2 linked regions of the Rhinolophus ferrumequinum genome follow. The protein of the gene in region 1 purifies or fractionates together with the protein of each later gene. This does not show direct contact. Links are inferred from orthologs where the notes say so. Each region holds a gene or a part of one and is shown in the gene's direction. Other genes may lie near its edges. The genes, in order: TSPYL1 and DDX24.

Evidence for each region.
Region 2: the proteins of TSPYL1 (region 1) and DDX24 purify together in Homo sapiens (affinity purification with mass spectrometry; 3 studies listed by BioGRID and IntAct, counting the BioPlex papers as one, with this or other methods). This does not show direct contact. The link is inferred for Rhinolophus ferrumequinum from reciprocal best matches to the Homo sapiens genes TSPYL1 and DDX24.

Annotation. Positions count from the first base shown.
Region 1 is NC_046286.1:67,195,181-67,210,636, reverse strand, and holds TSPYL1 (testis-specific Y-encoded-like protein 1), read left to right. Parts: upstream 1-8,050; 5' UTR 8,051-8,159; coding exon 8,160-9,476; 3' UTR 9,477-11,352; downstream 11,353-15,456.
Region 2 is NC_046289.1:9,012,370-9,027,184, forward strand, and holds the start of DDX24 (ATP-dependent RNA helicase DDX24), read left to right. Parts: upstream 1-6,784; 5' UTR 6,785-6,927; intron 6,928-8,311; 5' UTR 8,312-8,316; coding exon 8,317-9,031; intron 9,032-13,244; coding exon 13,245-13,793; intron 13,794-14,815. Other genes in the region: interferon alpha-inducible protein 27-like protein 2, read right to left, coding at 3,957-4,103, 5,119-5,196, 6,592-6,673. UniProt on the Homo sapiens protein: ATP-dependent RNA helicase that plays a role in various aspects of RNA metabolism including pre-mRNA splicing and is thereby involved in different biological processes such as cell cycle regulation or innate immunity.

The DNA of each region.
Region 1 (15,456 bases):
CTTACTACCCTTATTAATAATGGCCTGCTATGTCTGTGGTACGGCATTTTAGTTCTAGCAAGTTCCCTTTTACCCACCACCTGAAGATACTATTATGTCTAGAACGGCATTGTCTCGTAGAACGTTCTGCCACGATGAAATGTATGCTGTCCACAGTAGCCACTAGCCAGATGCTGCTACTGAGCACTTGAAATGTGGTCAGTGTGACTGATGAACTGAAATTTTCATTTCATTTACTTTAGTTTAAATAGCCACATGTGGTTATATTGGATAGTGCAGGTCTAGAATGTGTCTTAAAATAGCAGGAGCAGTGGAGAAGTATGACTGCTGTGTCTTCATGCCCCACCCATTTCTCAAGCTATTCAACTCTTACCCATAGTAGGATACAAGTCAAGGCTCGTTTCTTCCATGAAGCTTTCGCTGACCACTCTAATCCACATGGATGTCTTCCTCTGAACTCCCAAACACTTAACTGTTTTATAATTAAATATAGTGCCTGACTATACCTTGTACAATAGTTTAATTTTAATGTATGTTTTAGCATAAAACAATATAAATAATACTACCAGCTTCTACTCATTGAAAGTTTATAGTGCTAAACACTTTACACATATCTTATTTCATCTTCTTAATAGGCCTGTCAAGTATGTATTATAATCTCTATTATATTATACCTTTGAGGAAATTGTGGCTCGGAGGGATGATATGACTTCCTCAGGTCAAACAGGTAATAAATGGCATAGCTCAAACTTGAAACCAGGTCTACGACTCCAGTCTACACAGGCAGACACCTTGTCAGATTGTGCAGGGTCATTTGAGATACTTTGGCCTGATTTGATTATTGGAAGCCGTCATAACAAACCTAAACCTGTTTGAGAAAACTACTTTTTAACAATTACAGCTTAGTGGGAATAAAAGATTGTGATTTAATTTAAATTATACGAGTATTTCATTTATAGTGAAAGACGATTCCAAAGTTCTTCCATCAGACTAGACATATTACTTTCTTAGACCGCTTGCTCCCTCTAGTGAAAATCGCTGGGAATACCATACTCACCAAGTATTGGCTTTCACGAGATGGGGTTTCGGATGCTAGATATTATGCAGGAAGTCCGTATCAACAAAAACTTGCCCCACTTCTGAGAGGAAAAACCTACTTTTATTTATCTGAGCTTGGAATGTAACATAATTTTACATATAAAAACACAATATGTTTGCACTCTTTTACTACACAATGAATTTTCCAGGAAAGAAACTATATGAATTTCATCTAATTTAAGACATCATCAGTTGTAAACATAGTATTACTTAAATATTACCAAGAAAAAAAAAGGAAATTGCCAATTAAACTATGACACAAGGCATTCTTATACATAATTTTATTTATCTTTATTTAAAGAGCTCTTGTACACTTATTTAGACGTAAATCAAATAGCACACTTGCACATACTTAAGGGGAAAAAACAAAAGGAAAATAATTTTTTAAGTATTTCCAAAACTTCTTCATATCCAGTAAATTTTCAGAAACAGTTTTTGACTCAGAGTTGTCAATATTCATGTTTTTTCAAATAGTATTTTTCTCTTTGCTATCAAGTATTTTGATGATGCTATATTTCTTAACACAGTGCTCAACTCTTGTATCTAGAATTTTCTTCAAACCCACTGACACCAATTACATGTTTTGATGATGGTACTTTTTGAGCCTTTCAAAGACATCAATGGAAAGTTTTCAGACAACAACCGGTAGTTATATCCCTTCTTCAGATGGTCTTTAAACAGTTTGTCCAGAAATGAAATCGGTAACAATAACCCAGATCACATGTGCTCAACAAACATGTCATGACTAACACCTGGCTGACAGTGCTTGAAAGACATTCTGATTTCAGAAATGTGAAAATGAAAAAAATTTTTTTTTTTTTAAGAATTTTATTGGGGAAGGGGAACAGGGCTTTATTGGGGGAACAGTGTATACTTCCAGGACTTTTTTTCCAAGTCAAGTTGTTGTCCTTTCAGTCTTAGTTGTGGAGGGCGCAGCTCAGCTCCAGGTCCAGTTGCCATTGCTAGTTGCAGGGGGCGCAGCCCACCATCCCTTGCGGAGTCGAAACCGGCAACCTTGTGGCTGAGAGGAGTGCTCCAACCAACTGAGCCATCCGGGAGCTCAGCGGCAGCTCAGCTCAAAGTGCCATGTTCAAGCTTAGTTGCAGGGGGAGCTGCCGACCATCCCTTGCGGGAGTCGAGGAGTTGAACTGGCTGTGGGAATCGAACCGGCAGCCTTCTGGAGTTAGGAGCACGGAGCTCCAACCGCCCGAGCCACCGGGCCAGCCCCTATTTCTTTTTTTTTTTAATTTCTTTTTTTATTTTTTTAATTTCTTTTTTATTTATTTTTTTGTTAGTTTCAGGTGTACAAAATAATGTAATAGTTAGACATTCATCATTTATATCCCTCACACAGTGATAACCCCCTCCCCCAATCCACTACCCCTTTGACATCGCATACAGCCATTACATTTCCACTGTCTCTATTCCTAATGTTGTACTCTACTTCTTGCAACTATATATATATATATATATATATATATATAATTATAGCTGACATTGATTATTGTTCAGCTTCAGCTTCAGGTGTACAGTGCAGTTATCAAAGATCTGTACTCAGAAAATTATAAGACACTGAAGAGAGAAATTAAAGAAGATACAAATAGATGGAAACACATACCATGCTCATGGATAGGAAGAATTAATATCATTAAAATGTCCATACTGCCTAAGGCAATACAGAGATTCAACACAATTCCTATCAAACTACCAAAGACATGTTTCACAGAAATAGAACATATAATCCTAAAATTTATATGGAACCATAAAAGACCCCGGATAGCCTCGGCAATCTTGAGAAATAAGAACAAAGTGGGAGGTATCACGATACCTGATAACAAATTATACTACAAGGCTACAGTAATCAAAACAGCATGGTATTGGCATAAAAACAGACACATATATCAATGGGACAGAATAGAGAGCCCAAAATAAATCCATGCCTATATGGTCATTTAATCTACGACAATGGAAGCAAGAATTTATGGTGGGGTAACGACAGTCTATTCAATAAATGGTGCTGGGAAACTTGGACAGACACATGCAAAAAAATGAAGCTGAACCACCTCCTTACACCATATACGAGAATAAATTCAAAATGGATTAAAGATTTAAATGTAAGATCTGAAACCATAAAACTCCTAGAAGAAAATATGGGAAGAAAGTTAACAGACATTACCCGGAATAAGATTTTTACTGATATATCCCCTCAGGAAAGGGAAGTAAGAGAAAAAATAAACATGTAGCATTACATCAAACTAGAAAATGTATTTCTTACAAAGGAAGAAATAGAGTCGTGGCAATTGATGAGAACTTTTCCTTTTTCTTTTCTAAAACTTAACCAAGATTTGGTCACCAATTCAGAAAATCTCATCACTAAGAGTAATGCTAGTCATGGTATCTGAGCCACAAGTAAAACCTACCTGTCAGTCTTGGTGATTATACCAACAGGTGTAACTTTCTAACTACTCTGTTATTTCTTATAGTGTAGGTATGTTAATGCCCTTACATATTAAAACAGACACTGTTATAAATTACTTTTATTTCTCTGTTATATCAGAATCAAGTCATTATATTGATGTTTTTCTATTTATGTGTATAGGTGGTTGTTTTATCTATGAATTTCATTTCAAGAAAGTAAAGACTGTTTTAGAAAATATCTATTATAAAAAGATGACATTGGGTCTGATAGGGTTTAGAAAATACTGAATTTAGGGATCATGAGTAAATGTTTTTCCTCTAAACAGAAAGCAAATCCTTGGGCACTTTTCCTAACAAATATTAATATGCTTGTGGATAGAATGGGAGAGGCGGCAAAAAAAATGTGTATTAATTTAACATTAAGTGAGGATAGTTTTATGCTATTTTAAGACAGTGACTTCATTTTGTACAGAAAGCATGAGTTCTTGAGCCAAACTAGCTGGATTTCAAATGTGTCATTTTTGTATATCATTTTGAGTAAGTGTCTAATTCTTTCTTTGCCTCAGTTCCCTGATGAGTAAAATGAAGGTCATAGTAGCATTACCTCAAAGTTCTCATGAGAACTAAATGATACAATACTTGGAACAATTTACAACAGTGATTGGTACATCAGAAGCAGTAAATACATGAAATCTATCATTAATTATAACCATAAAATATATCTTTCTGCAAAACAAAATTGTCTGAACTTCTGCTAAACTCCTTACTACCTGAGCAATTATTCCTGAAGAATCTATGATTTCTTGACATGGTGGAGAATAACTTCATGGTTTTGTGAATGTTTTCTCATAAAATCATCTTAGAAAAGATTAGACTATCTTTTGGGTAATGAGGTTTATTGCCAATTGCCACAGAAATGCTGTGTAATATACTAATGTATCTTTCATTTCAAAGTGCAAAAGGGTAATATATGAAGTATAGCCAAAATATATTCTCCCACCAAGTAAAATGCTATGCCAATATAGACACACTATTGGTTTTTGTAAGATCATTTAAGACTTTATTTTTTTCAGATCAACAAATATCATTAAGGATCTACCAAAATCTCAGCTCCAGGCTATGCTGAGTAAATACAAAAGAAGAAGCACTGTACTCTTATCCCTTGGGAAGATGCTGGGATGATGACACTGAAATATATGAAAAATCAGAGTCACTAAGAGGAAGACTATAATTAAGCACTAAATTGCATGGCACAGCTCATAAAAGAGTTGTAGGAATTCAGAAGAGGAAGATTAATGAGTTGTTATGCCTAGGAGAAGGCTGGGGGAATGTAGCAGCTATTATATGGATGACCTGGTTAACTTCTCAGAGTTATTGTTTCGTCTTTTGAAAAATTTGACACTTTAATGCATGTTAAATGCCAAGCACATTCTAAAGCGATATAGGTTTGTGGTGGGGTCTTAGAGAATGGTATCTGCCTAAAAAGAGAATGTTTCAGATAGCAGGATAACCTGTGTCATGTGAAAGAGATGCACATTCAAGACTTCAGGTTCAGGAAAACTTCCACAAGTAATGGCCCTACTATTACAAGTACAAATTTCTGTGGCAATCATATTTTTGCCCTGCATGGCAAAACAGCTCTTTGAGCACATGAGACTTGATGCAGGCTGAAATTCTATAGGGTTCCTTCTTAAAAGCAAAAATTTGTTCTTTAAAAAAAGAAATAGCATAGAAAACACATATCTGCTTTTCCCTCTAAATCCTTGGTTCTTGCTGGCCCTTCTCTTATTTAAAAGTGATCACTTATTCAAAAGTGATCATAACCTAGGCTATCCATCATCTATAATGAAGAGTTATAATCTACTGTGATTTTCAGATAATGAAAATTGGAAGAAATAAGTTTCCTCATTTTCTGTATATATTCAATTAAATTATCTAGTAAGAGAAGGACAAGAGAAAGAAGTGTCTCAACACTACCTGGGAAATTACGCTCACCAGAGTCCTGATTACATTTACATGTACCATCTATCACTGGAGTCTTTTCTAACATTACCAGTTAGAGCACTAATTATGCTTACAGACATCATAATGGTGACTGTGACAAATAAAGCCACATCTTCTAGGATTGGTCAAAGACTGGCACTGTTTTCTGCTTACAAATAGAAGGCATATTAGAGTAATAAAAGTTTCCACTTTAGCCCAAATTAAATTACTCCAGTTCTAAGATTTAGGATAAATTATTTCATGGCAATTAGAAAGAAGTGGGCCTCAGAAGCAATTCCATTATTTATTCTTATCTATATTAAATAATTTCAGCCATGCATCACAGGATCTATATCCATTTCTTGCAAAGAGAAATGAAGTAAAGCCTGGATCCATTACGTTGGCTTGTTCAGAAAGGAGAGAAGAATTGGAAATACAGTGTTGGTAGTTTGAGGCTTTACCATGTAAATTCACCTAAATATGTCAGCCTTTCAGAGTTTGTCATATGGTGTGGTCACATAAATGTAAATTATTTGTAAAACAAAATTTTTCCTGTTTTTTGTTTTTTTGTTTTATGCTTTCATAGGCTTTGATGCATATGTAGAAATTCATTTGACTAGGGCTTCCTTCCTGCAGATAGCAGAGCAGTCCTCTGGTTTCCTGGTGGCAGATAGGGAGAAAAGCAGGATGACAATCTGCGTGCTCCTTACTTCTGCAAGCACCAAGCTGAGGCAGAAGAAACTGCATGCTGTTCACTTGTTCCTTTATTTACCATTTTAATAATCTATGCAACACCGTGCAAGGCCGCATGCCAGGCACTTGGTGAACAGTGGTAAACAAAAACAAGGCCCTGTCCTCCTGGAGTTTGGGGTCTTCTCAAAACCCACTTTTGTGGTGGGTTTTGGCTTTAATTTTATCTGTGTATTGTCTAAGTAGATTTCTGATCTCGATAACCAAAAACAGACTCAAAACATGATAAATCAAGCTGTTGGGCAGGACCTCAGAGGAAGCAATGGGCAAGAGTGAAGGGGTGCTGCTAGGAAAAACTTGAGGTACACATAAATGCAACACAAAAGCTCAACCCAAGAAGTACTCATTTCATATTGCTCTGTAACAAATTACCACAAGCTTCATAACTTAAACCTACACAAATTAATTATCCTATGGAGCTGAAGGTTAGGCATCATAAGGTCAAGGTGTTGCCAGGGCTGCATTTTTTTGGAGGCTCTTTGGGAGAATCTACTTCCTTACCTTTCCAGAATGTAGAGGCTGCATTTTTGCCTTGGATCCTGGTTCCTTCCGCCATTATTAAAGGCAGCAGCATAGCATCTTCAAATCTCTCTCTCTCTCTCTCATCTCTGCTTTGGTGATCATCTCTTTTTAGACTTGTACGCCAGCCTCCTTCTTATAAGGTCAACCCAGATAATCCAGGATAATCTTAGATCTTTAAGCTAATCATAACTACAAAGTCCCTTTTACCACGTAAGATAATATATTCAAGTTTCTGAAGATTAGGAGGTGGACATCTCCGGGGGCCATTATTCAGTCTACCACACAAGGCAAAGCAAATAGAAAAAAAAAAAAAGTTTGCCTCTTTTACACTTTAAGTCAACTAAATGCACTTTTGTTTTTTACTTCATGATTATTTGGTTACCCATTTTAAGTGGCTTTTCTTTATAAAATGGTGGCAGGTGGCTCCCGCCAACCGGTATTTCTCTGAGGCCTTGTAACTCGCTAACCCCGCTTTCCTTGCAAGTCAACTGGAGACACTGACATAACTCTTCCATGAACTCTATGAGCTGATTGCCATGAATATACACTTCATTACAGCCAACTTTTCCTACCTCCTTGCAGAACTAAGTTTGTTAATAGATCAATAGTTTTTGGGGCCGGAAATAAAGCTTTTCTATTTCCCACAGCAAGGGGCTATGGAGCAAAATGTAGCAAATTGATCCTATATTAATTCCTGCAGACATTATGTAGCACAAGCTCTTCTTTGATACAGATTATAAATTTAGTACTAGCAAGGAATAATATGCCTCACTTTAGTGGTAAAAAGCCGCTGAGTAGCTTTTTCTCTCAATGACGTTACAGGCTGTAATCGATATTTTCATGTCACTTCTATTTGAGAAAAGGGAAACAATTTGCAATTCATCTTCGTTAAAAAAAAAAAATAGAGAAGATTTTTGCTCCTGGACATTATGGAGTAACAGGGAATAGATTTACCTTCCTGCCTAAAAAAATACTGAAAACCAGAAAAACATGTTTTTATGCAAGTCTGCACTGTAGTACTGTGACCCCTACAACTATCCGAGTTTATATGCTGGAGGCAGTTTCCAGACGCTTCGCAGTGAGGGTCCTCACTGCCTTCGGACTCTGAGTCCAATCTACATTTATTTACATAAATCAAATTTTCTGTCCCCGCGAAGCAATTCATACAAGTAAAACTAACAGAACACTCGGGGACTGCAGGCAACAGCGGAGCCAATCCCGGCGGCAGCGAAATCTCGCGTTACGGTGAGATTAACGGCACTGACGTCACCCTCACGGAGACGCGGGCGACTCCAGAGGGTGGGTGGTGCTAGCGACCGGTGTTCGCCGAGCTGGGTTTCTGTGAGGAAAGCGGACGTTAACCTACCGTTGGCCTGGTTGCTACCAACATGAGCGGCCCGGAGGGGGTCGAAAAGACCGGTCTCCTCCTGACCCGCAGCCCCACTCCTCCCGGCCGTGCCCCAGGAGACCCGGACCCACACCAGTGCCTGAAGCCCCGCGAGGAAACCGAGGCGTCACAGGTGATGGCGGAGACGGGTGAGGGAAGCTTGGAGGCCAGCGTGCTCCCGCAGGCCCAGCTTCCAGAGGAGCGGGGAGCCCCCTACGACCCCGCGGGCTGTGGCCATTCTCCCCAGATCGGAGTTGGTGGGGATTGCGGTTACCGAGCGACCAAAGCGGGGAAAGAAGCAGCTCCGCCCCCGGTCTTGGGCCCGGAAGCCTTGTCTGTGTCCATGGCAACGGACCGCAGCCTGAACAATGGCTGTCAGCGTGGAGAGCCGAGTGGCCCAGGTGCGGAGAAGGCCCTAGAAACCTGTGGCGCAGAGAGGTTGGAGGCTGAGGTGATGGCGGAGATGAAGGCCGAGGAAGGGAAGGCTGAAGTGAACACCATCTTCTCAGTATCAGTGGATGAGGAGGTGGTGAAGGAGACGGGAGTGAAGGAGGAGGGCGTAGTGGAGGAGGAGATGGAGGTAGAGGAGAAGCCGGTAGGTGAAGACATAGACGTGGGGAAGGAAAACAGAGTGGTGGCGGAGGTGCCGGAGGAGGCAGCGCGGCGGCCCCTGAGTATGGATCTCCGCATGAACCCTCTGGAGGCCATCCAGCTGGAACTGGACACTGTCAATGCCCAGGCTGACAGGGCCTTTCAGCAGCTGGAGCATAAATTTGGACGGATGCGTCGACACTATCTGGAGCGGAGGAACTACATCATCCAGAATATCCCGGGCTTCTGGGTCACTGCCTTTCGGAACCATCCCCAGTTGTCCCCCATGATTAGGGGCCAAGATGCAGAGATGTTAAGATACATAACCAATTTGGAGGTGAAGGAACTCAGACACCCGAGAACTGGCTGCAAGTTCAAGTTCTTCTTTCGAAGAAACCCCTACTTCAGAAACAAGCTGATTGTCAAGGAATATGAGGTCAGAGCCTCTGGCCGAGTGGTATCTCTTTCCACGCCAATCATATGGCGTCGGGGCCACGAACCCCAGTCCTTCATTCGCAGGAACCAAGATGTCGTTTGCAGTTTCTTCACCTGGTTTTCAGACCACAGCCTTCCAGAGTCTGACAAGATTGCTGAGATTATTAAAGAGGACCTATGGCCAAATCCACTGCAGTATTACCTATTGCGTGAAGGAGCCCGTAGAGCCAGACGTCGCCCAATAAGGGAGCCAGTGGAGATCCCCAGGCCCTTTGGGTTCCAGTCTGGTTAAACTTTGCCCTTGGGACTACTCTTGCACAAGGTCCCCTGTCACCTCTTGCTGGACCTGTGCTTGGGTGACAGAAATGGGTATGCCTTCTACCTTTTTTCCCCGCCGGCATTTCTGCAAGCTTTTTCCTCTGGACATTTAGTTCTCTCAACCTCAAGATTGAGACCTTCATGGCCATGCTTCTCCACAGCCTTCAAACTGTTCTGCATTACTCTCGCATGCTGCATGGCCATGATTCACACTACTGCTCAGCCAAGTGAATGATGCTCTCAATTGCACTGCCTTTATCAGCACTGCTTGGATGCTAGTTGTTCCCGGGGCCTCTGGTCTGGCTCTTACCACCTATAATTCTAGCTTTTTCTAGGCGCCCATCCTACCCACTTTGCTCTGCAGTGCAGGTAGATAGTCTGTGGACAATTGCGGGGCATTAATGTCAAGGGAGAGCAGCAGTGGGTCACTTGGTCTTTGTGATTTACGTGACTCCATTGCTCTTCTTGCACCTCTGGTCATGTAGTGCTGCATGCTTCTAGCTGTGCCAACCCCTTTGGCTGCTCCCTACTGAATGAAAATCTTCCAGACCATTGTCAGCTCCTCTGTCTGGTTTCTGGTAAACCGAATCTTCAGAACTGGTGGTGGACCAAGTTTCCTGCCAGCACAGGTTTCCCTTCCAGCCCTTCCATTCCTCTACCCGAAAGACTTCTCAATTCTTCACCCCTCTTCCCTTGAGGAACCCTACTGTCAGGCAAGTGGTTGAGGTGTCACGTTAGACCTTGACCTCATGACGAGTAAGGATGGTGTCCAGGCTTTCTCAGCCTCAACTAGTGAATTCACACAAAACCTAGGTACCTCTTGGTGCCTCCTTTCCTCATCCTGAACATGACTGTCAGAGTATCAGTACATTTTCTGTTTATCTCCTGTCTATTAAAAAACAATTAAAAATTGGCTTTTTCCATCATTTCCAGGGACAACAGTTCCTGTAAAATATACTGCCAGAGCTCTTATTTCCCTCTGCTCTCTCTCCCGCCCCCGGCCCCTCCAACACTTAGAGGACTTAAAGGGAGGCAGATCTAGATGGGATGAAAAGTGATACCTAGTTCATATGGATGGAAGAACTAACGAGATTGTGAGGAGTGCCCTAAGCAGGGGAAACTGAACAACAGACCGTAGGCAAAAATGAGCCAGGTAAAAATTGGGCCTAAAATTCAGAGTGGCTGGCTGAGAACCTTCAAGGAAAGGTTCTTTCTCTGTTGGTGGTGATGGGAGGAGAAATACTTTTTCTCAGGATTTCCATGGGAGAATTAAAGGGGCTTGGAGTGTTAAATACGTTGCCAAGAGAAGAGTTTTTCAAAGAAACTAACACAACTTTGGGTGCTTGCTCTTATTTTCGTTTGACTTAATTTATGCAGAAGATTAATACTGTGTCCTTTATTTCACTAGTATTTAGTAAAATCCTGTATTTTCTCTGTTTCTGCTTACTGGGAAAGTGGAGCTGTACAGGCTTTCTTTCCTTTCAATTGGGGACATTTGGAAAAATAACAGACTTTCCAGTACGATAGACTTAAATGAATATTCATAATGATTTTCAATTTTTTCTTGTTTCTGTCAAAACTGTATTCGTAGAAATATGAATAACTTGGTATTGTCAGATTCTGAAGACTTTGGAAATTGTCTTCATGGAACAATAACCTACAGAAAATATGTGGTTTGATTAACCTACTTGATAATCTGCCCTGGTAACAATTTAGTAATTGATGTTTCTTTTTTCCTAAATAGCATAAATGCTTATGAGATTGCTCTGTCAAATTGGAAGTGTACCATTGGCATATTTGTCTTTCCTTATATGCATGATGGTAAAATAAAAGCATGTTGCTCTGTTAGACTTCTCATTTTTCACCCTGCCAACAAACTTGCTTAAAGAAATTATTGAAAATAACAGATTATGGAATTTAGTAAAGCTCTTAAATCGATACAACAAGCATTTTCCCAAAAGTAAAAAAAAAAAAAAAAATAGAGCACACTACTGTACCTTGCAAGGTAGGGAGGGTTGTTGCCTTTTTTTTTTTTTTTGCTTTAAAATATCAACAACTGCAATAGCTCACTCATAAACTCATAATGTCACTTTTTTCCACATAGTTTGTTCAGCATCACCACCCCTTTCACTTCCTTAAAGCTTCCATTTCTATGTGTGTAGATATCCTCAGGTCATTCAGGCTCTTTTTAGTCACTTGTGCACTTAATAAGCTCACATTCAGAGAGTTCCTGTCATAAGTGATGTATTCTTGTATCCTATACTTTCTCAGCTTTAAAAACTTGTTCTGTTCTTCAAGCCTCACCACCATCTCTGTGTCAAATCCTTCAAGCCCTGTCATAAATATCTTTTCTGCTTTATTGTTTTTCTCTTCCCCTTAGGGAAGATAAAAAAAAAAATTATGTACTTGGTGTACTTTGTAAAGTTTTCTGTACTTGGTGAACCTCTGTTCTAGAAAATAACACATAGTAATTTATTACAGTGAATTTCATGAATATGAAGGTATTCTGCCAGGCCCCAGGAAGATAAAAGTATAAGAAGATAAAGTTCATTACATTTATTGTTAAAGAACTGGGGAAAAACTGATAGGCAAACAAATAATTGACACAGAGTGACACAGTAAAATAAAATACAAAGATATACTTTCTTATGTTTTTCACTCTAGTTTCAAACGAAGTTTTGTGAAAGCAGAAGATGGGGGATATTTTTACATTCTTTACTACATCTAGCTTAATGTTTTGCACATAGTTGTCACCAGATAAATATTTAGTGAATGACAAAATGAACAATTCAAATGGAGAAAAAACAAAATAACACAGTACCCAGAAAGACTTTTGATGAGGTAATGAAAAGAAGAAAACGGTTTTCAAGGCATTTGTAAAATTGCAAAAAAAAAGTTTTTTTAAATTTAAACAATTTGTAAAAACTTTGCAAAAAATTTGCAATCTTTCTTAAATAAAAACAAATTTCTTGTTTAAGTAATTAGAAAAAGTCCAAACACTATATAACATTTCATCTTTTACTTGCCATGTTAACAGAGCATTAACTTTGGATCAACTTTTAAGTGATTTGTTTTTGTACATCTTAAGGTAGTGACTATTACACTGGACTATTACACTGACTTACACCAGTGGCTATTGAGCACTTGAAATGTGACCAGTGCAAATTGAGATCTGCTGTAAGTATATAAAATACACACTAGATTTCAAAGACTTCGTATGGAAAGAAGGATGTAAAATACCTCAATTTTTATATGGATTGCATATTGAAATAATATTTTTGATATATTGGGTTAAATGAAATATATTACTAGAATTAATTTTCCCTATTTATCCATTTTTTTAATGTGGCTACTAGTAAATTTAAAATTACATAGGACAGCATGGTTCTAGACTTCTTGATGAATATCTCAAAGCATATAAAAATATCTGTAAAATTTAAACATGCTATTACTTTCTCCCCATGAAATTTTTTGTGACTTTATGACAAGGGTATCTAGCCAAAATTCACAATGGGTAAAGTACAGCCAGAAGCCAGTGGGTAAAAAGGGTAAAATGAAATGTCTTTAATCAATTTCTTCTCGACTACCTAAGATATACTCAGTACTTTCTAAAATGTACTGTGTAAAACTATGCTTCTGGATATAAACAAGGTAGATCTGGGTGCCAAATTGGCACTGATAGTTATATTGATTAATAAGTCTCTAGCGACATTTAGGACCTCTAGTTTCATATCTTTCGAGAATAAAATGTGTACTTTTTGGTTTACAGGAATACATAAAGCTAAGACAATAATTTCAGTCATTAAATACAGAAGGTGCCAAAAATGTATAGGAAAACACTGTATTAAAATTATGCTGATGTACTATTTAGTATATGTTACATAGGCTACAAATTTTAGCAATTGGCCAGTGACAGAAAACAAAAATCTGAATCTATCACTGCCATTAAGTCAATTCAATACCCACCATTTGAAGCATATTTTTTTTTGAAAATTAGTGTAGCAATTGCACCTTGCAGCATTTATTACTTATTTTGTATTGGATACTATATTAAGGATTATATGAGATAGTAAAGATTTTCCTTGCCCTCAAAGAACTCAGTGTCTCATCGAGGGAGTATCCATTCCTTGATGTTTCTTCTTCTCTAGCATACTCACATACCTAAACCAGTTACACACACAAGAAAACGGGATTTATGTGGTCAAGAGGAGGTGTCAGAGATGATCAGGACATTTCCTTCAGGGCCAACTTCTTCAATGTTAATATATAATTGAAGTCCTAGACTGTATAGAAGTAACATATAATCTTTATCCATTAGTATGGGAAGTGTTTCACTTGTGAGCAGTACTTCCCATGTTTGATTGAAGTGCTTTGTTTCAGCTCCAAAGGGCTACATTGATCCATTACCTTTGACCTTAGAGGTTCTCAAGACCTACGGAAGTTTCCATCAGGCCACATTAGGAAAACCAAATGTCTGCTTTTTAGATTCATTTTTTCAGGATTTGTATTGAATGTAATTTCCTTGAGAACAGGCCAGAAAGAAATGGTCCTATTAAAAATGAAAAGGGTCACTTAAGTAAGCTATTAATAATTTTTATAAATACCTAAATGTCTTCTTAGTGGCCCGAAGAGACAGGGAAGACACATTACCTTTAAATTAGGATTAAATCACAGTTTTGGAATCAACCTCCTAGTGCATTAGCCTAAACAAAGACCTTCTCTGAGCCTCAGTTTCCTTGTCCATAATGCAGAGATGATATAACACCTGTATTATAAAGCTAACATTCTCCCAGATTGTATTTGGAGAATGTATTATAAGGTTGTAGAGAGGGTAACAATGATAAAAAATCTTTGGGAGCTTACTATGTGCCACTGCTAAAAGAGTCCAAGTATTAACATAGTTAATAAAGATTAGAGTGCAAAAGGCCAAGCACAATTCCTGGTATGTAATATGTAATCAATATTCCTATTTATCTTCCTCTCAATTTTAATTTCTCATTTAATTTACATTCAGACAAGTAGCAATCTGGCCTAATATTTGTCAAACCTGACTGCCCATTATAAATAGCTGGGAGCTTTGAAAAAATCTTGACGCCTAGGCTCACCCCAAACCAATTAAATTAGACCCTAAGGTGCAGACAGGTTTGAGAATCATACATAAACTTTCCTTGGACGCCTTAAGTGAGGGAATACCCACTTCCTTCCCAGTTGTGTTACATTTACTCAGAAATCTACCCCCTTATAAAATCCAGCTATTGCAAAGGGCCAGGGATATAGTAGGCTCGCAGCACACCTGCTCCACAGTTTGACCCCTGTGGTCTTGCAGAATGCAATTAGCCAGCTGCCACAAAAGAGCTGTTTAAGTACTTGAAGTTAATCATTATACTCTACCCTTCACCCCCCCACCCCAGACAGATCAATATATCAATTCTTTCAATGTTCCTCATCCATTCTGTATGCTAATTAGACAAGATTCATTACGCCAATGTTCTTCCTAAAGTCTGGCGCCCAGAACTTGGGGGAAAAAAAAAATCCAAATAACAGAATATAATGGGATTCTTACTGCCTTTATTATAAATAGTATTTTTCTTTAAATGGATCCTGGGAGAATATTAGCTTTTGGGGCAGCACATTTACCCTTTTTACTCTTAATATGATATAATTTACCAAACCCTTAAGTTTTCAAGTATTCACGTGCTCCTGAGTTAGGCTTCTCTATCTTACACTTTTTGGAGTTTGTGTCCAACACTATATTAATTTTTATTCTGTTAAACTAGGCTAATTCATTTAACCTGTTCATATTTAGAGGCTTATTATTTCTAATGAGAAATTTTATCCCTTAGTTTTGTGTCATTTTGCAAATTTTGTCTGTAGCCAGGTCACTGCTGAAGTTCTCACTCTCAGGAACCTTCCTTTTAGAGCGACATAGCTCTTTAGGATATGATCTTCCCATC
Region 2 (14,815 bases), on another chromosome or scaffold:
ACATGGCCCTGTGGACACCTTGATTTTGGATTTCTAGACTCCAGAACTGTGGGAGAATAAATTTCTATTGTTTTAAGCTGCCCAGTTTGTTTACAGCTGGCCTCTGGAACACTTTCCTCACCTGGCCTTCAGGAAATTACCCTTTCTCACTTCCGTTCCTGCCACACTTGCCTCTCCTTCTCGGTCTCCTTTCATCTCCTCTCCCTGATCTCTGATGAACGCTGACATGTCTGGGGTTCAGTCCTCAGACCCCTTCTCTGCTTTAGGTCCATTCCTTGGGTAACTTCACCCAACCACGTGGCTTTCAGGACCATCTGTATTCTGACGACTTGCAAATTGATACGTCCAGCCCAGACCTACTCAGCATGTCCACTGAGGTATCTGAGAAGCACCTCAAACATAACATGTCAAAAGCTGGACTATTATTTCCCTCCCAAAGCTGTTCCTCCAACGGCCATCCAGGCTCAGTGAAACACAGTCCCATTCTTTCAGCAGCTCCGGACAAGCAGCCAGGAGTCGATTTTTCCTAGTTACCCTCTCTCCACACCAATCTATCAGCAAATCCTACTGTATCACCTTCAAAAATATCCAGTCTGACCATTCTTTATACCTCTGCCTCTGCCATGATGGGCCAAGCCACCCACATCTCTCCCAAGGATTACTGCAATAATCCCCTGCCTCTGCTCTGGCTCCTGAGTTTCCATTCAGCCCGGAGCTGTTCTCTCAGCAGCCAAAACCTAGAAGTCATCCTACACTCCTCTCATTTTATCTCACTCCACATCCAGTCTGTTAGCAATTCCTGCTGATTTCACCTTTCATACGTGTCCAGAATCTGATCACTCCTAATGCCTGCACCATTGCCACCCTAGTCAATTCACCTCTTCCCGTCCACAATCAGGGACATGGACCCCACACAGCATGAGACGTATCTTGTTGGCTGCTGGGGTACAGGGAGCAGCTATGGTGTTGAAACCCCTGCACGCTCCCTGTGGCCCACAAACACCCACCTCTTTAACGAGGATGAGGGGGCTGGCTTCTGCTTTTCTCCTCAAGCTCACTGCTATGCTTCTGTCCTAGGAAACGAATAGAAGCCATTCCCTGCCCTTTGGGATGCCAAATCCAGGCAGATTTCCAGGACTCTTTTCTGCCACAGAATCTCCCACAAGGTAAGGCCGTTCTCCGTCTCCTCTGCTGGATTTTGAACTAAGGTCAAGGGCCAAGCCTCAGTCACTGCTGCCTACCCCAGTGGCAGGCACAGGCCTCTGAGCAAGAAGGTGCTGATTATTTCAGAAAAAGAAGTATGGATCAAGAGTATACCTCTGTGCATTAAGGGACCTGCTATGGTCTGAAATTTTGTGTTCTCAAAATGAGTATGTTGACATCTAATGCCCAAGATGATGGAGTTAGAAGTAGGGCCTCTGGGAGGTGAGTAGCTCATGAGGACACAGCCCTCATGATAGGGATTAGTGCTCTTATAAAAGAGGCTCCAGAGAGGCCCCCTCATTCCTTCCACCACGTGAGGTTCCAGAGCAAAGATGCCTATTAGAAAACAGGCTCTTTCACCAGACACTAATCTGCCTGTATCTTGATCGTAGCCTTTCCACCCTCCAGAACTGTGAAAACTAAATTTCTGCTGTTTATTAGCCACCAGTGTATGGCACTTTGTTATAGCAGCCCAAACGGACTAGGAGAGGAGACAATCAACAGAGCGCAAAGGCAAGCTACAGAATGGGAGAAAACATTTGCAAATCATATGTCTGATAAGGGTTATTAATCACAATATATAACAAATTCCTACCACAAAATACTCAAATAACTCAATTTAAAAATGGGCAAAGAGACCAAAGAATAAAGAAAAAAAACAAACAAAAACCCAGAAAACAACAAATAAAAAAAAGAAAGAAAAATGGGCAAAGAATTCAAATAGACATTTCTCCAAAGAAGATATAGAAATGGCCAATAAACATGAAAAGACGCTCAAAAGCCCTAATCATTAGGGAAAAACAAATCAAAATCACAATGAGGTATCATTTCATGCACATTAGTACGGATACTATAAAAAAAAAAACAGATAATAACAAGTGTTGGCTAGGATGTGGAAAAACCGGAACTCTTATGCACTGATGGTAGGAATACAAAATGATGCAGCAGCATGGAAAACAGTACAGCAGTTTCTCAAAAAATTAAAAATAGAATACTATATATCCGGCAAACCCACTTCTGGATATATTCCTAAAGGAATTGAAAGCAGGGTCTTAAAGCGATACCTACACCCCCGTTCACAGCAGCATTATTCATAATAGCCAAGAGGTGGAAGCAAATCAAGGGTCCAAAGACGGATGAACGGATAAACAAGATGTGGTATCCACATACAATGGACTATTATTCAGTCTTAAAGAGGAAGGAAATTCTGAACCTTGGAGACATTGTGCTAAGTGAAATAAACCAGTCACAAAAAGATACATGCTGTAAGATTCCGTAGAAAAAAAGGGATTCCGTGGAAAAAAATCTCATGCGGTGACCTGATCACACATTCCTAACTGGGCAGGTCATGGTGGGTAGTCACACCCAGGCCTATAACTTTTTAGTAAAAGGCTTATTTTTGTCTTAAGCAAGCGCTGTTCATTGTTTCTATGCATCTCGGTTAACAGACCTTTGAAATAACCACCCTCCAGAGATCTTGTCAACTACCCTGTAATCCAATCCCCGCCTTGCTATCTCCCACCTCCATGTAATTGTCCTTATGGCCCTTCCTTAATCTCAAATGTATAAAAGAAGCTGCAAAACTTATTCTCTAGAGCAGGGATGTCAAACTTTTTTCAACGTTTTTTACCAAGGGCGGTAAAATACACAAACAGCTTGAGGTGAAGTACGTATTGCCTCACCTGGTTTATTTAAGCAAACTCAATATATTTTTGGAATTTGCTGGGGGCCAATTAAAAATGGATTGCGGGCTGCAGTTGGCCCGCGGGCCGCAGTTTGGACACCCCTGCTCTAGAGCATTTGAGATTTTGCTCCCTAGCATATGTCGTCGGTTTGACTCAAACAAACTCTTATAAAAAGTCTCTACAGGTTTGGACGTTTCTTATGTCAACACCACTTATAAGAGGTCCCCAGTGGAGTCAAATTCATAGAGACAGAAAGTAGAATGGCGGTTGCCAGGGGCTGGGTGGGGGAGGACGGAATGGAGAGGTCTTGTTTAATGTGTAGAGTTCGTTTCTGTGAGATGAAGAGTTCTGGAGGTTGGTCGCACAATAAGGCAAATATACCTCCTAACACTACAGGACTGTACACTTCTAAGTGGTCAAGTTGGTAAATGTTATTTTGTCACAATTAAAAAAAAAATAGAGTGCACCTTTTCCTGCCCCGTTCCTGGGCTGGCCCCACCCTAGAGACGAGACTGCTCCGTAAGGGCTTATCATCAGAGTAAATGAGCAACCAGGCCCTGGGGCATCAAGGAGGAACAGGACTGGAGAAACGAAACTCACTCAGGCCTTGGGTGCTGTGGGCCAACAGGTCAGGGCAGTGACAGGGAACTTGAACGGGCAAAGAGCGGGGCCTGAGCATGAGCCTGCTAGCTGCCCAGGAGCCTAAGGCCAGTGTGACTGGGCTCTGTACCACTTAATTGATGTGACCTGGCACTGGGGGACCTCGGAGAGTGACATACCCCTATCCCTGCACTTTGGAACAAACCGATCAAGGCCCAGAGAGGGCTCATGACTGGTTCTGGGTTACCCAGCAAGTCAGCAGCAGAGCCAGGGCCTGAAGTGTAGTCCCTCTGACTCTAGAGCTTCATGTACGTCATCTCCCGTGTACACCGCGCCCCTCTTCTGACAATGTGGGTGTAGTAGAGGGTCCATCGGGGACTGGTACGTGAATGCTGACAACTTAGAAGACTGAGCTGAGCAGTGAGGGTGAGGTGACGTCTGGTGGACTGGTGCCCAGGGACCAGTTACCTGCAGTGCGGGAGAAATTCCTGCCTCCATCTTTGGGTGGTGGGTCTGTGGAGTCAGAGCCATGTCCATCTGGCCCCGGAGGGGGCCCCTGTGGTGGCCTCCCAGGAGTAGAACCAGCAGAGGATGACTGGGGGGATTCATCTTCCTCTGGAAAAGAAGCGGGGTGGGGGCACAGAGAGGGGGCGGGTAGCTGTGAGACCAGAGGTCGAGGCCCCCGGGCCCCGAGGAGGGCAGAGGCCCAGAGGCCCCACAAAGCACCTTCTGACATTTCCTGATGCTCGCGAGAACTCCGATGTGGGAATGGGACATCAGTGACAGCAGTGCTGAGGTAATAGGAACATTTGGAGATGAACCCAGGTACAAAACAGAGAGAGGGAGACCTGACCACCAACTGAGAGCGGGCAGGTCCCTCACTTCACCAAGGGGTAGGCTGAGGCCCAAGATGGAAGAGACTTCCTCAGATACAATGCACCTTAGTAGCAGCTCCAGGCTAGAACCCAGACCTCCTCTGCCTAGGGCCATGGCCCCCAGGCCCTGGGCCACCTTACCTTCCAGAGCTTCCCTGAGAGCACTCACCATCTGACTGAAACTCCTGCAGGAGGGCATCAGCAGCAAGTCCTTCATTCTCTATGGCTTTAGCTGACATCTCAGAGGCAGTGTGAGCACACTAGGTACACAGCCTAGAGTTACCACTATTTTTCCCAGAAAGGGTGTGTGAAAACCAGAAGAGCTGTGCCTGATTTGTGATGGATTGTGGTATGGATGGGGACACCTCTCCATTGCCCTGAGCCCTGGCCCCTCTGTCCTATAGCAGTCTGTGGGCCACTCCCAGCACCCCCCCCCCCAAATCTGCACAGACTGCAGCTTTTTCAGTTAAGGACTTTGGCTCCCTGATCTCCAGGATTCTATTCATCTCTAATATGTCACCTCTGTCCCCTGACTATTGCCCCATACCCAGCCTAAGTCTTAGGGCTTGACAAAATCCTGGGTTGGGACAAGCCCGGTTGCTCCCAAAGTCGCGGGGTAAATGTGGGCTCAAACCCCTTCCCAGCACACTCACCTCTAGTCACAGTGACAGCAGCTCTGAATGGCAGCAAAGAGGGATGCTATGAGTGGAGTCCTGGTGCTCCCTCCCTTCCCCATTTCCCGGGCCCCTGCCTACCTTGAGGTAATTGCAGTTTTGGAAATCCTGTGTGTAGTATGGCTCCTGATGACTCCAGCAGGCATATATAGTTCCACCCTGGATGACGTCCCACCCACGTGGCAAATGAGACAAATGAATCATTCTTAATCTAGGCTGGTAGACCTAACCTTTGCCTTGCAAATGTGAGGATTGGGGGAGTGTGGGCTGGTCTACAGGATAATCTAATCTCAACACATCCCAATGCACCATATATAATACTCAGTTTCTCTAATCCTCTAATGGTGGCCGCCTGGTTTGCATGGCAACAGGAGAAAGCTTGGGTTAAGTCAGAGGAGATGTCCACACAAACCAAGGCATATTTAGAACCCTCACCCACAGGGAGAGAGCTAATATAATCAATTTGCTAATTTTGCATTGGTTGGGAATTCTGGTGGATGGCCGCAGACTCCTTTGGTAGTTGCCTTGGGAGTTGTTTAGAACACAGAGGACGTGCTGCTACTGCATTAACCAAGTCACTGTATTTCAAGGGCAATCTGGCAACCCTGGCAATGTGCCCCCCACCCAGGCAATGCAATGGCCACTCTATATATTCAATGTGCTATATTTACTGAAGGGTTAGTTGCTAGCGCTCGTCTCTGAGCTAGGGCATCAGCTTCCTGATTGCCAGGCAGTGTCAGTGCTTTATGAGCCAAGACATGGAAAACAGTAAGGACCCAAATGTCTTTCCACGTATCGTGATCCCACAAAGGCTTATTCATAGTCATCTATCCCTCTGTTTCCCATTGTCCAAGCCACAGGGTTAATCCCTTTAGAACAGCCCAACTGTCAGTGCAAAAGGTTAATGAATGACCAGGGCTCCCCCTCCAAGGTGTGTAACTGGCCCAGAGGAGACAGGAACATTTAACCTGCCATGAGGGGGGTCATGCGGCCCTTCCTTCTCACTCTCCCATTGAGGACTGCTCCGTTCCCGTTATCAGATTTCTTCAGGCACCACTTGGGCACAGGCTCTATGCTACCCAGACTCTTGGGGACACACTGTCAAGTTGCCCCAAGAAATGTGTTAAGCTCTGTCCCATGGTGGCTCCAAGCTGGTGGGGAGGCTCACTAGATCTGCACTTGGTGAATTCCCCCATTGTCCTTTAGGACTTTCCAAGGTCACCAAGCAGTCTATGAGAAAGGTTCCCCAGATGGTCCCGCGACACCCACATGAAAAGGTGATTATCTATTGTAAAGCTAATTTCTCTGCATGTAACAAAGCAGCCAGTTTAGCTTGGTGATTAAAGCCTGGGCTTTAAAGTCAGGCGGACCTACCCTAACCATCATTGAGCAATAGGAGAGGCATGAAAAAATTGCGGAAAATGGCACCTCCAACATAGGCTGGTTGGGTTGTAAATTAAATGCTGAAATTTTGCAAGGCCCCAGGCATACAGTAGGTTTAACACGTCGACAGTCACTGCACTAAAACTAGACCAAGAACACAAGAATGCTTACGTTTCCGTGCGTGAACTAGCGTAGAGCCCTTCTGGATGTAGCACAGAGCCTTCCCCCTGCTGCGTAATCCAGGGAGGGCCATCGCCGGCGAAGCCAGATTTACTGCCCCCAGGGCGGTGCACTACCGCACTGCACAAGTCCGCGGTCGAGCGGCAGCGAATCAGGTGGCGGCGTCTAGAGTGGGGGCGGGACATCCTGCCGCACCGCGCCCGCGTGCGCGAGTATAAGCCCCGCCCCGGAACTGCGGTCGGCGCTGCAGCCGAGGAAGAGCTGTGGCGTTTTGTAAGGCGGTTGTCCTGCCGGCGTCTGTGGGAGCCGTAGCGGCGTGTGCTCACTGTGAGTACCGGTGCTGGAGCGGGGGCCTGGGGCCGGTACCCGAAAGGAGCTGGGGGCGGGCTCCTCGGCGCCCATGTCGGGCCTCTTCAGCTCACTGGGTTCTCAAGTCCAGAGAGGCGGCTGCCGGCCCGGTCAAGCAGCCTGTCGACCCTGCGCCGGGTCCCCTTCTGTGGGTCTCGGGGCTCGGAGGCCTCGTCTTTCCCGCTCCGTGCGCCTGTTTATGCGTGAGCGGAGGCGCTAGGGCCAGTCACAGGGCTGGACGCTGCGAGCAGGGGCCCCGCTTGCTCTGCAGGTCGCGCTCTGCAGGTCGCCCTCCGCGTCCCGCCCATGTGCGTGACCATCCCCAGTGCCTCTCATCACTGAACTCCAGTCGTTGGTACTTGGGGCGGTGAGGTTCGCTGGGTGAACCTTCCTGCGTGCCGGCGTGCTCAGCCTGCGAGGCGCCATGCTGAGCGGTTTTTGACGTGCGTCACCTTTTTGTATTAGCGTAAGCGTGCCCGGAGACAGAGCCTCATCACCTGCGTTTTACAGACGAGGACACAGGCGCAGAGAAATCAGTACATTCGCCACAGACTCAGAGTTGGCGAGTGATGGGCCGGCTTTGAACGACGGTTCGTTCACCTTTGTCTTTCTCACAGGGTCTGTTATTTTTCTTAACCTTTCTGAAAGGGGAGAACAAGGATCCAGTTCCACTCGAACTGTGCTACTGCTGAAATGGTTTTTAAATCACTTACAATGTAATGAAAAAGCTGTACGGGATGGATGGGCTTTAAGCCATTTGGCAAAGGCCAGAATGGTGGCGCAGGCATTTAGATGTTCTTGGGGCAAGACTTGAGGAGGAGAAAGCTCTGTTCACTTTGGATAAAGCTGGCCTCCTCAGCCGCCCTCAACGCCCACCCCTGAAAAAAAAAACAAAAAAAAACCCAAATTCTCACTCTGCCTTCCATGTGGCTTGGGTATCGCAGCCTTTATCCTCCATGCTTTCCATAATTTTATTTATTTTTCTAAAACATTTTGTGACTTAGGTATTATTAGGCCCCTCCTTCTCTCAAAGAGATGAGAACACTGAGGTTCAAAGAGGATTAAGCAGGGTTTCCCAAGGGAACACAAGCAGTTAAGTATTGGATATGGAATTCAAACCCCATCTAGCTCATAAGTCTTTGCTCTCTATTCTGTTCGAGGCCAAGCTATCTGATTTGTGGGTGTATTTCTTTCCTTTTTTGATCTTCTCTAGCTGGGAGCATCAGCTCTAGCTGGGAGCATCAGTGTTCAGAGCCATCTTTGCAGGGTCTGATATCCTGTAGGCTGCTTAGAAAATACTTGTTGCGTCAGAATCCAATGCTTTTCAGTTGCCAGTCTAATCGAACACCTCTCTCCTTTTCAGCAACCATGAAGTTGAAGGACACCAAATCAAGGTCAAAGGCACCAAGCTATGGCAAATTTCAGACAAAGGGAATTAAGGTTGTGGGAAAATGGAAGCAGGTGAAGATTGACCCAAATATGTTTGCAGATGGACAGATGGATGACCTGGTGTGCTTTGAGGAACTGACAGATTACCAGTTGGTCTCTCCTGCCAAGAATTCCTCCAGTCTCTTCTCAAAGGAGGAGCCCAAGAAGAGAAAGGCACAAGCTGTTTCAGAAGGAGAGGAGGAAGGAGATTCTAGCTCCTCAAAGAAAAAGATAAAGTTGAAAAAGAGTAAAAATGTGGAAACTGAAGGAACCAATGCCCAGAAAGACTTTCAGGTCAAAGATGCTGAGCCAGAGCCCCTGGGAGATGGTACAGTTTGTTCTGATCCAGAGATAGGGGAGATGGCATCAGAAAGCCCAGCCCAGGCTATTCCAAAAAAGAAGAAAAAGCAAGGGAAAAAAAAATCAGAACCTTCTCAGGGTAGTACTCCAAACGTGCCGAAGAAAGCAAAGACGTGGATACCTGAAGTGCATGACCACAAGGCAGACATATCAGCTTGGAAGGACCTGTTTGTACCCAAGCCAGTTCTCCGAGCACTCAGCTTTCTGGGCTTCTCTGCACCCACACCAATCCAAGCTCTGACCTTGGCACCTGCCATCCGTGACAAACTGGACATCCTTGGTGCTGCTGAGACAGGTAAGGGCACCCTTATCTGGCCAGGGCAAGATTGCTTCTGGATTGAGCCTGTGGCTGCTAACAGGCTGGATGGCTGGGGAGAGAGGCCGAAGCAATGGTAAATGAAGGTGTTTTAGAAGCCAGCCAGCTCTGGGTTGAAATCTGCCATTTCCTAATTGGTACCCTAGGCAGGTCACTTTATCTCTGTGTGTCGTATAGGCACTATTATGAAATGGAGATAACAATACCTACTTCTTTTGCTGTGTCGGTTAAATGTAAATGCTACAGCAAACTGAAATTTCCACAGTACATTGTGAGTGATCTGCAAATGGTTTTCTTCCTGTTCTTGGGCCTTTTTTAAATGGCTCAGAGGGGTAAACCAGGGCTAAGATCAGCCCTCTGGAGAGGTAGATCTTCATTAGTATAAGGAATAAGTGTCCAACTCTCAACTGTTGTCCGAAGATAAAAAGGGCTGCTTTGGGAGTTGGTGAGTTTATTGTCATTGGAAGGATTTGAATGTGTGATAAATAACTATTGGGTGGATTTTGTAGGCAGATTTGGGCATCAGGTGATTGTTGGGACTAGGCATTGTTTAAAGTTCCCTTATTCCCTGGGCCATCTAAGACTTTGTGAAGCAAGACAGGTTGAGTCTCCCTGGGTGGACTAAACTGCTGACTAGGGGGAGTGGCTTGTACTGCCTGGAACTATTAGTCCAGCTAGACCAGCAGTAACTAATAGAAATGTATATTTCAGTGCCAGTGAGCCACAGATGTAATTTTAAATTTCCTAGGAGCTGTATTAGAAAGGTGAAAAGTAATAGGTGAAAATTAATTTTTACAATGTATTTAACCAATTATATAAAATATTTCAATATGTAATTAATGTAAAATTACATTCTTTACATTCTTTTATACTAAGTTTTAAAAATCTCATGTATTTTGAACTTAACAGCACCTCTCAATTTAGAGTAACCACATTTTAAGTGCTCAATAGCTATATGTGGCTAATGGCTACTACTTGTATGGCATAGGACTAAACCATCTGGACACTTGGTGCCTTGGGTTTCTAGAAGAGTGGTCAGGAAACTTGGGGTGAGATCGTACATGAGAGTCACAGAGATGGAAGAGTCAGGAAACTCCAAGAAAGGGGAATGGAGGTAATAATAACAACTTAGAACATTTACTTAGCATTTAAAATGCATCATGCGCCGTGTTAAGTGCATTATATTGATGAACTCAGTTCTCAGCCCCCCTGAGGTGGATTCTATTATTATTCCCATCTTACTGATGTGGAAACTCTGGCTCACGGAGGATAGGCAGCATCCCTGAAACTGCACAGCTGAAAGTCGTAGTGCCGGGTCGTTAAGCATTCTGCTACACTGCTTTGATATGTGCAGAAGCCTGGAGGTAGGTTCTGGAAGGCGGAGGCAAGGCTGTGTGAGCCACTGTGGCTAGAATCTGACCTTGGGATTCGTACCACAGCTCCTGTCAGGCCTCCGCATGGATTGTTGTGAGTGTGCAGGTCCAAGGTTCAAAAAGACTTGGGGCTGTGGACGAACTGCTGCCCATGTAGATAATAAATATACCCCTGACCCGCACAGGATGCTTTCAGCCCCTTCGTAATCTTTCTTTCCCTGGCCTCTCTCCTTTTCGTCCTCAGGCAACCTCTGATAGATTTTCCTATCACGATTGTCCTGCGGGGGGGCCTGCGGGGTCTCTGCTCCCGCTCCCCACACAAGAACGCAGGACATGGTGAGGCCAAACAGGAACACCCACGGAGCCATAGGTAGGGGAGTCACACCACTATACTCTCGCTGGCGGCTGGGTTGGAGACACAGGGACCAGGAGCCACACAATTCTCAACCCTCACTGCGCCGCTTGCAGACTCAGCCACCATCTTCTTGCTAGGCCCCACTTGCTGCTAGCGTAGCCACGGCAGTTATATTCGTGGCCAATGGCTCACTGGTTACAGCTGACGGCCAACTAGCCACAGCTGATGGCCATTTGATCACAGTTGATGGCCATTTACTACCTGAGCCAGCACCTTTCTATGTGAGGCCGAGAGCCTGGAAACTGCTTTTTGGGGCTCTGTCCCCACAACGGTAGATTACATTTTCCAGAATTTTATATATTGGAATCATATGTATTTTGGGAATATAGGTATCTGTTCTTTCGATCGGCATAACTTTGAGGTTCAACCATGTTATTGAAAATACCAGTACAGTAAGTCTTCACTTAATGTCTGTTAATATTTTTCCTCTTCTTCTGCCTTCTTTTGGATTAAATATTTTTTGTGATATCATTTTATCTATTTATATTGTGTTGTTAGCTATAACTCTTTGTTATGTCCTTGTAGTAGTTGCTTTTGAGTTCACAGTATATATGTTTCATGTGTCATATTCTACCTTCGAGTGATAATGTACTATTTTACATGTAGTGCGAGAACCTTACAAGAGTATGTTTCCGTTTATCCTCTCCTCTGGGCTTTTTGTTTTATACTTTATGTGTTAGAAATCCCAAAATACATTTTTATTGTTTTTGCTTTAAGTGGTAACTAGGAAAAACACATCTTTTGTATTTACCCATGTTACCATTTCTGGTACTCTTTATTCCTTTTTGTTGATCCAAATTTTCATCTGACTCCATCATTTCTTTTGCATGAAAGACTTCCTTTAGTATTTCCGCCCCCTTCCACGTCCCCCCCAACTCCAGTTCAAGCCGTTGTTTCTCAGTCTAGTTGTGTAGGACACAGCTCCCTGGCCCATGCTGGTGTTATGAGCTTTGCGCTCCCCCCGGCTCAGGCAGTTGGTCGCCAGTCGTCGGTCAGTGCTCACAGCAGCTCACAGCAGCTCTCGCCGGCTGCCGGCCGCTCACGCTGGCCACAGGTCGCTCATGGCAGCACACAGCAGCCCGCGGCAGCTCACGCCAACCTCCAGCTGCTCAAGGCAGCCCAGCTCCAGGGAGAGTTGTTCACAATCTTAGCTGTAGAGAGTGCAGCTCACTGGCCCATGTGGGAATCGAACTTGCAACCTTGGTGATAGGTACACAGTGCTCCAACCACCTGAGCCACCGTGCTGGCCCCTCCTTTAATATTTCTTATAGTCCAGGTCTACTGGCAATAAATTATTTCAGCTTTGTACACCTAAAAAAGTTTTTATTTCGCATTTGTTTTCAAAAAGATTTTTGCTGAGTGTAGAATTCTAGATTATCAATTATTTTTTTCAGTTCTCCAAATACAGATGTTGTTACACTGTCTTCTAAGCTTTCATTGTTTCTGATGAAAAGTGCTGTTTTTTCTTATCTGAAGTTTTATGGGTCTGTTTTTGCTCTCCTTTTTTCTTACAGTTCTTGCTTATAGTACCTTGTTTCCTTAGGAGTTATTTTTTACTGAGAGCTGCTCATTTTCCTCTGAGAATTCTTCGAGGCCTATGATAAAGGTTTCTTCCTCCAGAGATCATTTATTTGCTTCTGCTTAGGACGTTAGAACTACTTTAAAGTCTCAGCTTGAGGTGTTTTGTTTTGTTTGTTTGTTTGTTTGTTTTGAGCACCCCGATGTCGTGAATTTGGACTCCATATACATTCAAAGGTCAGGTTGAAAATGTTCAAGCATAGACAAAAGCATGCTAATTTAAAATTTTTTCCTCAAAAACTAAGAAAAGAATTTTTTTTACTCCTTCCCCACCAAAGAAAGGTCTTGGTAAAATACTATACAGATTTCCATTCCCCGCCCACCATGTGTTCCTTAGCAGCCTCTCTCTCTCTCTCTCTCTCTCTCTCTCTCTCTCTCTCTCTCTCTCTCTCTCTCTCTCTCTCTCTCTCTCCCTCTCTCCCTCCCTCCCTCCCTCCCTCTCTCCCTCCCTCTCTCTCTCTCTCTCTCTCTCTCTCTCTCCCTCTCTCCCTCCCTCCCTCCCTCCCTCCCTCCCTCCCTCCCTCCCTCTCTCTCTCTCTCTCTCTCTCTCTCTCTCTCTCTCTCTCACACACAAACACAACTTGCCCATCTCTTTAGTGTTTCATTGTTTGGACATGAATTCAGTGCCAGCCGTTTCCTCAGGCTCCTCCTAATTATAGGTGCAGTGCTGTAAGGGAACCTGTGCAGGGTGAAGGAGCTTTGGGTTGGTCAAAGTGGTTCTTGGCTCTTTGAAGGGTCCCTTATTCTGCATAAAACAACCCAGACGAAAGTATGTGCATCTGTTGATTTGGTTGTTCCCCCTCCCCCCGTTTGTTTTACTTCTAAGGAAGTGGGAAAACTCTTGCCTTTGCCATTCCAATGATTCATTCAGTGCTGCAATGGCAGATGAAGAAGAAGCCTCCCCCAGCTCTGAGTAACACAGGCGCATCACCTGGCGAGACCAGAATTGAGGCTGAAGCTGAGACTGGGTCACCAAGCAAGGCTGAAACTGACTCTGGAGCTTTGTCAGATGAGATTAGAATCGAGAGTGAAGCACTGCCCAGTGAGGCTGGAACGAAGGCTAGAGCACCACCCAGCAAGGCAACAGCCAAGACTGGAGCTGCCATCTCAGACCAGTTGCTCCCCTTCTGTGATGATGATGCTGGTGAAGGACCTTCTTCCCTGATTAGGGAGAAGCCTGTCCCCAAACAGGAAGAGGACAAAGAGGAAAAACTTGATGAAGAGCAGACTGGAAAGTTAAAACGAGAGTTAGGTGGCAAAACTGCCACCTGTAAAGCACATCCAGAGCGTCCTCTGCTTGGACTGGTTCTGACTCCCACTCGAGAGCTAGCCGTCCAGGTCAAACAACACATTGATGCTGTGGCCAAGTTTACAGGTGAGGTTTGGTTCCATTTAATAAATATTTCCTGAGAGGATCCTAAATGCTGGGGTGGCAAAGGTGAATGAGCTGCAGCTCCTGCCCCTACGGGAAACCTTTCTCATCTGTCACAGAATTAAAAACCCTACTGAAAATTGAGCGGCGCTTTCTCAGTTCTCCTAAGAATGACACATAGCTAATGCCATTCTGAATGCTTAGGAACTTAGTTAATTTATTGGCTACAATGGATGCTGTGGCAGGGGTTGGCAAACCACCTGTTTTTGTAAGTAAAGTACAGCCATTTGTTTACATATTGTCTATGGAAGCTGTTGTGTGACCAAGGCAGAGTGGACTAGAATTAAAAGTAGTTAAGCCCACGAAGCCAAAAATGTTTAGTGGACTCTTTAGGAAAACGTTTGTCAACCTCTGCCTTGGGGCATTTAAACTTACTTCTCTCAGGGAATTCCTTTGGGGCAGAGCATCCCAGTGGGTATTTTAATTATAAAAGCAGCAATTACTTACCAAACTTACTGTGTGCAGGGCACTTTGCTAAGCACTTTGCCTACCTGATTCTGTGTGTTTCTTTCACACTGGATGCCTGACAAGTCCTCCACGAGACAGAACAGAACACGAGGCATTAGAGGAGATTCAGGGTAATTCTGATTGAGGGGAATGAGCACCCTAGGGGAGGTGTGTCGCAGCTACAAGGAACGTTACTGCCAGCGTCGTGCTGCTCCACTCTCAGTTTTTCCGGAGCTTTGAATGTAAGCATGCCTGGGTTCAGATGCAGCCCTTTGGCTGTGGCTGAAGGGGACAGAGAAGAAAGAAATGAGGTTGAGGAAGTAGGCAAGGCCCAGAGAGAAGACTTGGTAAGTCCTCTAGGAGTGCACCAACGGTCAGGCCAGGTCAGCTCCCCTGGAGAGAGGAGCATTGCTATCGTGTTTCCCCGAAAAAAAGGCCTAGCCAGACAGTCAGCTCTAATGTGTCTTTTGGAGCAAAAATTAATATAAGACCCGGTCTTATTTTACTATAATGTAAGA